Callithrix jacchus: one gene and its partner. The protein of the gene in region 1 binds, or shares a complex with, the protein of each later gene. Links are inferred from orthologs where the notes say so. Each region holds a gene or a part of one and is shown in the gene's direction. Other genes may lie near its edges.

The links. The genes of interacting proteins can lie anywhere in the genome.
Region 2: POLE3 (region 1) and POLE4 share a complex: the UniProt entries of both Homo sapiens proteins name them as parts of the DNA polymerase epsilon complex. The link is inferred for Callithrix jacchus from reciprocal best matches to the Homo sapiens genes POLE3 and POLE4.

Annotation. Positions count from the first base shown.
Region 1 is NC_133502.1:161,723,111-161,727,067, reverse strand, and holds the start of POLE3 (DNA polymerase epsilon subunit 3), read left to right. Parts: upstream 1-1,157; 5' UTR 1,158-1,237; coding exon 1,238-1,303; intron 1,304-1,397; coding exon 1,398-1,483; intron 1,484-1,801; coding exon 1,802-1,920; intron 1,921-2,426; coding exon 2,427-2,599; 3' UTR 2,600-3,957. UniProt on the Homo sapiens protein: Accessory component of the DNA polymerase epsilon complex. Participates in DNA repair and in chromosomal DNA replication.
Region 2 is NC_133515.1:38,228,758-38,232,862, reverse strand, and holds the start of POLE4 (DNA polymerase epsilon subunit 4), read left to right. Parts: upstream 1-1,305; 5' UTR 1,306-1,342; coding exon 1,343-1,570; exon of another isoform or gene 1,571-1,773; intron 1,774-2,020; coding exon 2,021-2,105; coding exon of another isoform or gene 2,106-2,118; intron 2,119-2,711; coding exon of another isoform or gene 2,712-2,781; coding exon 2,782-2,823; intron 2,824-4,105. UniProt on the Homo sapiens protein: Accessory component of the DNA polymerase epsilon complex. Participates in DNA repair and in chromosomal DNA replication.

The DNA of each region.
Region 1 (3,957 bases):
AACCCTCTGTCTATGAAAAATACAAAAAAATCAGCTGTGTGTGATGGAACGCACTTGTAGCCCCAGCTACCTGGGGGCTGAGGTGGGAGGACCACCTGCGCCCGGAAGGTCTAGGCTGCAGTGAGCCCAGACCGTGCCGCTCCAGCCAGGGTCAGAGTGAGATCCTGTCAAAAAAAACAAAAAAAAAATCAGTGGAATTGAGAATTTCTACGTACTTAATATGAATATGACTTAAAAACAAAACGCCATTGCAAACCATGAGAATGGTTTTAACTGGAAAAAATGTATGATGAACAATTTAACTGAAAAATAAATACAATTTTAACATTGTTTTTGAAAGCGAAAGTGATGTTGCATTCTTCTTACAACGAAAAAGCTGCTTCTCGCCCTTTTGTTACCTACCCAGCCCGAATTAAACCCCGGGCCTAATCAGGCGCATCTTTATATAGCAAGCATTATCCCTGGGCTGCCTCAATAGTTCGCGTTAAAAACAACAACCAAAAACACCTAAATAACACTCATTCTTAGTACCATTGTTACGCAGGTGTGAAGGGCGAAAAGATTAGAAACCAACATCAACTTCGGTAGAGGTGGAAAAAGACTACCCGTTTCATTCCAGAAAAGAAAAAAATATTCGGAGAATCTGACCACGCGGGGCTGAGGTCCTGCAAGAGCAAAGCAGATTCGAAACCGCTTAGGATTGCGAAACCAAGGGGGAAAACGCGGCCCCTTGCGGCGTGGAGAGTAGGTTAACCTAGCGGGCCGCCCAGAGCCCGCCTCCGGGTCTAAGGGTACCCGCCCAGCCGAGTCAGCCACGCCTTTGTCTCCGGCGCGCTACGCCCCGCCCGCGCCGTCGCCAAGCCGCGGCGCAGAGCACCATGGGAAACGGACGGAAGCTCCATTGGGCCATATTAAGTTGGTGCGAAGGTTCTCGACGTGGCGAAGGCGAGGAGCAGAGAAACTGACCTGGGGATGGACGTTCGGGGTGCGCTGGTGTTAGATGAAGCCTCGACGGGCCAAAACCACTGAGGCTTCAAAGTCTGGATGCGCCGGCATTTGAGGCGGAGGCGGGGCTGGGAAAGGAGGGAGGCTATGGCGCGCTGGGCACTCTGGGACACTGTGGGACACGTGGGGCGGGACGGAAGCTCGGGTGGATCAGACCGTAGCGACGCGGGAAGTCCGGACGCAGTAGCTGCCTAAAGCAGAGGCGAGGGGAGGCTCAGCCCCGGCAGCGGCAATGGCGGAAAGGCCAGAAGACCTAAACCTGCCCAACGCTGTCATCACCAGGATCATCAAGGAGGCGGTGAGCAGTTCGGAGGGGGGGCGGGGCGGACGAGCGGGCAGGAGGGAAGCAGGTCCTGGACCGGCAGCTTTGCTTACCCCCGGTCTCCTCGCAGCTCCCGGACGGTGTTAACATCTCTAAGGAGGCCCGGAGCGCCATCTCTCGCGCCGCCAGCGTCTTCGTGCTGTACGCCACATCCTGGTGAGCCGGGCAGAGGCATAAGGGAGGTGCGGGGATACCTGGCTGGGAGTTCCTGACCGGGAGCCCACAAACCCCAACGATTGTGTCCTCCTTAGGTGGGGAGAGGTTAACAGTCCTCTGCCTATTACAAGTTCTGAAGCAAAAAAACAACAAAATGACTTTGCTTTAGCTTTTTTATACGGAGAAGGGAAGAACTTAATCCTCTCACACCAAAATCCATGCATGTGAGAAGGCTTTCCCGTCCCACCTCTGGGTGCTCCTTTTCCCACCCACCCCTTACGCTCAAGAGGGAGTCTGACAGCCTTTCTCTTCTCCCAGTGCGAACAACTTTGCAATGAAAGGAAAGCGCAAGACGCTGAATGCCACCGATGTGCTGTCAGCCATGGAAGAGATGGAGTTCCAGCGGTTCGTTACCCCATTAAAAGAAGCCCTAGAAGGTAACAAGCCTCCTGTGTTCTGAACCACACAGAAGATGGTCATTCTGTGTGACCTGTTCATCCGGCCCTGAGCCTTTCTGAGCGTGGGTCCCTTTAAGTCCAGTAAGCCAGTACTTGACGTGACTCAACCCAGTTAAGTGGGCACCATAGAGTCTTGCCCTATTGCCCAAGCTGGAGTGCAGTGGCTCACTCCAGTCTCCTCCTCCTGAGTTCAAGCAATTCTCTTACCTCAGCTTCCCGAGTAGCTGGGACTATAGGTGCACACCACCATGCCCGGCTAATTTTTGTAATTTTGTAGAGACAGGGTTTCACCATGTTGGCCAAGCTGGTCTTGAACTCCTGACATCAGGTGATCTACCCACCTTAGCCTCCCAAAGTGCTGGGATTACAGGCATGAGCCACTGGGCCCATCTGCCTCTGTTTTTCCAATTGTACGATGCAGTTAGTTGCTGCAGTCTGTCGGACTCACTCAGCTCTCTGTCTCCTAACCCCTTTCCTCCTTACAGCATATAGGCGGGAGCAGAAAGGCAAGAAGGAGGCCTCAGAGCAAAAGAAGAAAGACAAAGACAAAAAAACAGACTCTGAAGATCAAGACAAGAGCCGGGATGAGGACAATGATGAAGACGAAGAAAGGCTGGAAGAAGAAGAACAGAATGAAGAGGAGGAAGTAGACAACTGAATAGGGTGGGAGACTGTGGCACCTTGGAAGGTACCACTTGAGATGCGATGTGCTACATGTTTCTATGAGGCTTTTCCATGTGGGGCAGAGCAGTCTCAGGCAGAAGTGCCTGAAAAGATCAGAATAAAAACTGGCTAGAAATACCATCAAAACCAGCACTTCCCAAACTCAGAGCATCTGAGTAGCAGAACCCTGTTTTGCTTTATCAATCTGAAGGTTATGACTTTTTGACAAGAGGGATTCTGAACAGCTAAATGACAGTTTGATCACTTTTGGTTACTTATATGTATGGTTAGGTGGTTTTTGATCCACAGTCTTCCTCGTTGCCCCACGTAAGTAATAACTTCCATGCTGCCTGCTGCGTTTCAGATCACAGAGGCAGCCAAGGCTCAGGAAAAATTGGGGCTTTGCTTAGGGTCAGCCTCTGTTTGATTGCACAGTCTTTGACAATAGTAGCTTACTAAGACTGGTCAGAATTTGTAAGCTTTAGGAAACCACTAGAATGCTGTGGAAGAATAACAAAATCTGTTCTGTCTCTTCACTTAACTGAAGCATTAACTGAAGTTTGTTTTTCATAGACCCACTTGGTTCGGAACCTTTCTGTATTGCCTGTATATGTTTGACCTGCTGGGTGGTGGTAATCTGGTCACAAATGTTTGTAAATTTGCAGTATAGAATGGGATTAGTCAAGCCCAGGTGCCAGTGTCTTACTTTTACAAAAACAGATGGCGTAGTGTTAGATGTACCTTCTATCGGCTACTGTACAGCTTTAGGATTTGTCATCACCTCCTGGAAGGTATAAAACCCCAGGCTTCCTCTTCTTGTAGTTCATCTCCCAGACTTGTGACTGTGGCTTTTCATTCTTCAATTCATGATGAGTTCTAAACTATTTCCTCTTGTCACAGCTTTCTTCCTCTGTGCCTCTTGTTTCCTTTCTGTCTTCTGCCTCTCCTCTGCTCCCCTCTCCCTCCTTTTCTCACTTCTGTCAGTCTAGGAGCTTTGATTACCTGCTTCATATTCCAAAGTGTGAGTTCCTCTGATCTCTTGATTACTTAGTTCTAATCTCATGGTTTTTTTTGTTTTGTTTAAGAGATGGGGTCTCACTCTGTGGCCCAGGCTGGAGTGCAGTGGCATGATCTTAGCTCACTGCATCCTTGAACTCCTGGGCTCAAGTGATCCTCCCCGCTGAGCCTCCTGAGTATCTGGGACTACAGATGTGTGCCACCAAGCCCGGCTAATTTTGTCTCATGTCTTCTAAAAATTACTTTGTGATTGTGAAGCCCCTCTGAACCTTAAGGGAAATCTGATGGTGCTCAGGAATCTAACTCCTCCTAAACCGTCCTCTTTAACTGCTTCCA
Region 2 (4,105 bases), on another chromosome or scaffold:
CAGATGTCATTTAATTCAGCTTCATCTTGGCTTCACATTGTCGAGTGTGTGACTCAGTAACCACTCTGTGCCTTGTTTCAAATGTTTGAAAAACAAGGTTAAGGTTATTTTGTAAAGTAAGGTTACGATATATACCTCAATAGGGTATTATGAAAATTACAGAAGTGTGATTTACATAAACATAAAACACTTTGAATCATGCACATAGTAAATGCTCAAAAGTGTTCACTATTATTATGATTGATTGACTTAGATTAAACCTATTGTAAATATTAACTGTTCCTCTATGCTATCAGACCTCAAAGTGCAGTGTGGGGATTCATGAGGGTGGGAAATTTCTACAGACCCTTTTTAGGAATCCATGAAGTCAAAATTATTTTCTTAATACTACCAAGAGGTTGTCTTTTTTCATTCTCATTCTCTTAAGGAGATGCAGTACAGTTTTTCAGAGTTACCTGAGAAGAGCTAACGTTAACCACAGAAGTAGCTAGAGAGTCCAGTTCTCACATGAAATCTGACATTAGACTTTTCTTACCAGATTTATTTTTTAGTCACTTGTCATAAAAGTGCTATGTTAGCTTGTAATAAATTAGTGATTTTTAAATCAGTATTTTAAAACTTTGTTTTAATTCCAATATAGTAAGTATTGATATAACCCACAGAAAAAAGCTCCTTAGGCTCTTTAATCTTTAAGACCGTAAAGGGATCTTGAGGTCAAATTTGAGACCCAAAGCTGTGATGCAACCACTTTTTGAACAAACGTGGATGCCTCATCACAACTACATCTCTTCCAGCCTCCACATCTTTTTCTTGTTTCCTCTGCCTGGGCTGAATTTCTTCATTTCTGCCTGACAAACGTGTTACACCTCCTTCAAGAGCATCTATAACTGGTTATCCTTTAATTTGGTCCAGATTTTGCTGCCTTCTTGGTACCCTCTTCCCCAATGCTGGGCCCTCCAGGGAATGTCCGGGCCCCCCTCGGACACGTGCCCACGAGGATGAACACTCTTGAGTTGACGGAGGCTCTCTGGAGAGCCCGGTCTAGACTTCTCCCCTTACCAGCCCCGCACAGGCACCAAGGCCAGTGCCTGGGCTCCTCAGGCCCAATGGGACGAGAGGGTGGCCGGTAGCGTCAACAAAGTCCACAGCAGCCCAGGGGTGGCCAGGCGCGCGGGAAGAGCTAGAGCCCGGTCCCCGCCCACCGGGATTCCCGGGAGGGCCCTGCGCATAGGGGAGGAGCCGCGCGCCAACACAGGGTGTGGCCTCCAGCCCGCGCGGGAAAGGGCCTGCGCCGCATGCGCGCGCGCAGTCGGCGGCCGCGCGCAGTACGCTCAGGGCCGGGATGGCGGCGGCGGCGGCGGCGGCGGCGGCGGCTTCAGGAAGCGGGACTCCCCGAGAGGAGGACGGACCCGCTGGGGAGGCAGCGGCCTCGCAGCCCCCAGCCCCAACGACGGCGCCTGGGGCACGTCTCTCGAGGCTGCCTCTGGCGCGAGTAAAGGCCTTGGTGAAGGCGGACCCTGACGTGACGCTAGCGGGACAGGAAGCCATCTTCATCCTGGCACGAGCAGCGGTGCGGCTGCAGCGGGAGGGCACGCGGGGTGGGGGAGGGGAGCGCGGGCGGGGCCTCAGGGTATTCCGGGGGCGGGGCTTAGGGCGGCGTGGGCAAGGTTTTGAGATGTGGGCGTGGACCCGGAAGGCGGAGGGAAGAAGTCGGGAACCTAAGCGAGTTGTATGTTTTGTTAACACTCCTCCCTCATGTTGAGGACCCGGATAGTGAGTGACTTTAATTTGTATCTCCAGGGTCTCATACAGAACTTGTAGGAGTCTATAGTGAATGAGGGAGAATACTGGGAAGAGGGTAGTGGAATCCACCTTTAAGTCCTGGACAATCTTAACTTCCAGAACATTTTCTTGCCCCTGAGCCATTCTTCTCCCTTTCTGCCCCAACTCACAAACTGGAGCCCTCACCTCCTCAGTGTGCTAGAACCCATTACTAAAACTCTGCTTTTTTGCTATACAGGAGCTATTTGTGGAGACCATTGCAAAAGATGCCTACTGCTGCGCTCAGCAGGGAAAAAGGAAAACCCTTCAGAGGAGAGACTTGGGTAGAGTGACACTGTGTGTCTGGGGACAGACAAGGGAGAGCTGGGCTGGTTTCCCCTTGCACAGATTGAGAAGACATCACTCTGATCTGAGAGGCGTCTCAGCGTCTCTCCCCATGATGGTTTCTGTTGGCCACAATGCCAGGAAACCCTGCCTATAGAGTCTGTCTGCTTGGGGTGGTGGGACAGAGTGTGAAGGCGTCTGGGGTTGCCAAAGCTGACTGGATCCCTTCATACTTTCCGCCAAATTGTACCTGAAAAAGATATTTATTTTTCACTTGCAACTGGGGATTTGATTTCTGACTCTTGTCTGGCTGGTAACTCTGACCTGTGTAAGATTTTATAGACCGTATTCTCAGGCTCCCTGCGTGTATTGCCACATTCTTCTCTGATGACTTTCAGAGCAAAGTGAATAAATAATATAGGGTTAATTTAGGAACCTCCCAGCCCCCTGCATTGAATGGATTTGCCTATGCTTTTCTTAATCTTCTAGAGAGACAGCTAATATATATAAGAGTTGCTGGTAGTGTAGATATGGATATCAAGGCATCAAGGGACGTATCTTATAAATGTGCTCATTTGCCCAAAGACTTATGCCCTTCACTGCAGATTGTGCTGTTTTGGGACTGACGTCAGCATGGCTGGAATTAGTCAGGTGTTCCTTTACGTTATGTTTCAGATAATGCAATAGAAGCTGTGGATGAATTTGCTTTTTTGGAAGGTGAGTTCTCTCTCAGTGGGCAGTCATTTCTACCTGTCTTTTGCATGTTGATGTGAAATTGAAAACCTTATAAAACGGATGCCTGGTTCTTGTTTTTGTAGGGATAATTCTTTCTCCATACTTGCTATTAGGATAGAAAAAAGTAAGTTGCTAAACTTAATGAGGTTCGGTTTTTCTCCCTTGGGGAATTAAAACTTCTACCTGAAAATTGCTAACCATAAAGAAATAGGAGGGAATATTAAGATCCCAGTGAAGTTAAATGAATTCAAAAATTTGATTCCTACCTTGGTCGCCATCCCTAGCTATCAAGCTTGCCCCTCTTATCGTGTTAGAGATCAGAAACAATTGTCAACATTTGAAGTGTCACTGCCTGTTCCTTTTTCTTCAACAATCTGTGTGAAGTGATTATTTTGCTGCAGTAAGACTTGTACTTGTCTGTATTTATTTCTTTTTAGGAATCATGGATTAACTTGTGTACTAACTAAATTTTGTCTTTTTTTTTTTTTTGAGACAGAGTCTTGCTCTGTCACTCAGGCTGGAGTGCAGTGGCACAATCTTGGCTCACTACAACCTCCGTCCTCCAGGTTCAAGCAATTCTCTGCCTCAGCCTCCTAAGTAGCTGGGATTACAGGCACCTGCCACCATGCCCTGCTAATTTTTGTATTTTTAGTAGAGACAGGGTTTCACCATCTTGGCCAGGCTGGTCTTGAACTCCTGACCTTGTGATCCCCTCCCCATTCCCCCCCCCCCCCGCCGCAAAGTGCTGGGATTACAGGCGTGAGCTACCGTGCCTGGCCAGTTTTGTCATTAAAATAGCAAATATTTGAAATATCTCATTTGAGCTACCTTGCCTCAGAGCTATTTCTGCTACTTAATTCTTAGATCAGCTTACTCTTCACTACACGTATATAGTCAAGTGTTGCATAGTAACTTTTTGGTCAGCTATGGACTGTGCACATGAGGGTGGCCCCATCAGGTTATAATGAAGCTGAAAAATTCCTGTTGCCCAGTGAGTCACAACATCCTAATTAAATACGTTATCTTTTCTATGTTTAGATAAATACACTTACCATCATGTTACAGTTGCCTACAGTATTCAGTATTGTAACATGCTGTTCAAGTTTGTAGCCTGAGAGCAATAGGTACACCCAGTAGTGTAGGTGTGTAATAGGCTATACTGTTTAGGTTTGTGTAGGTATATTCTATGGTGTTCACACAGTGGTGGGATCGCCTAAAGATGTGATGCATCTTTCTCAGAATGTATCCTTGTTGTTAAGCAACA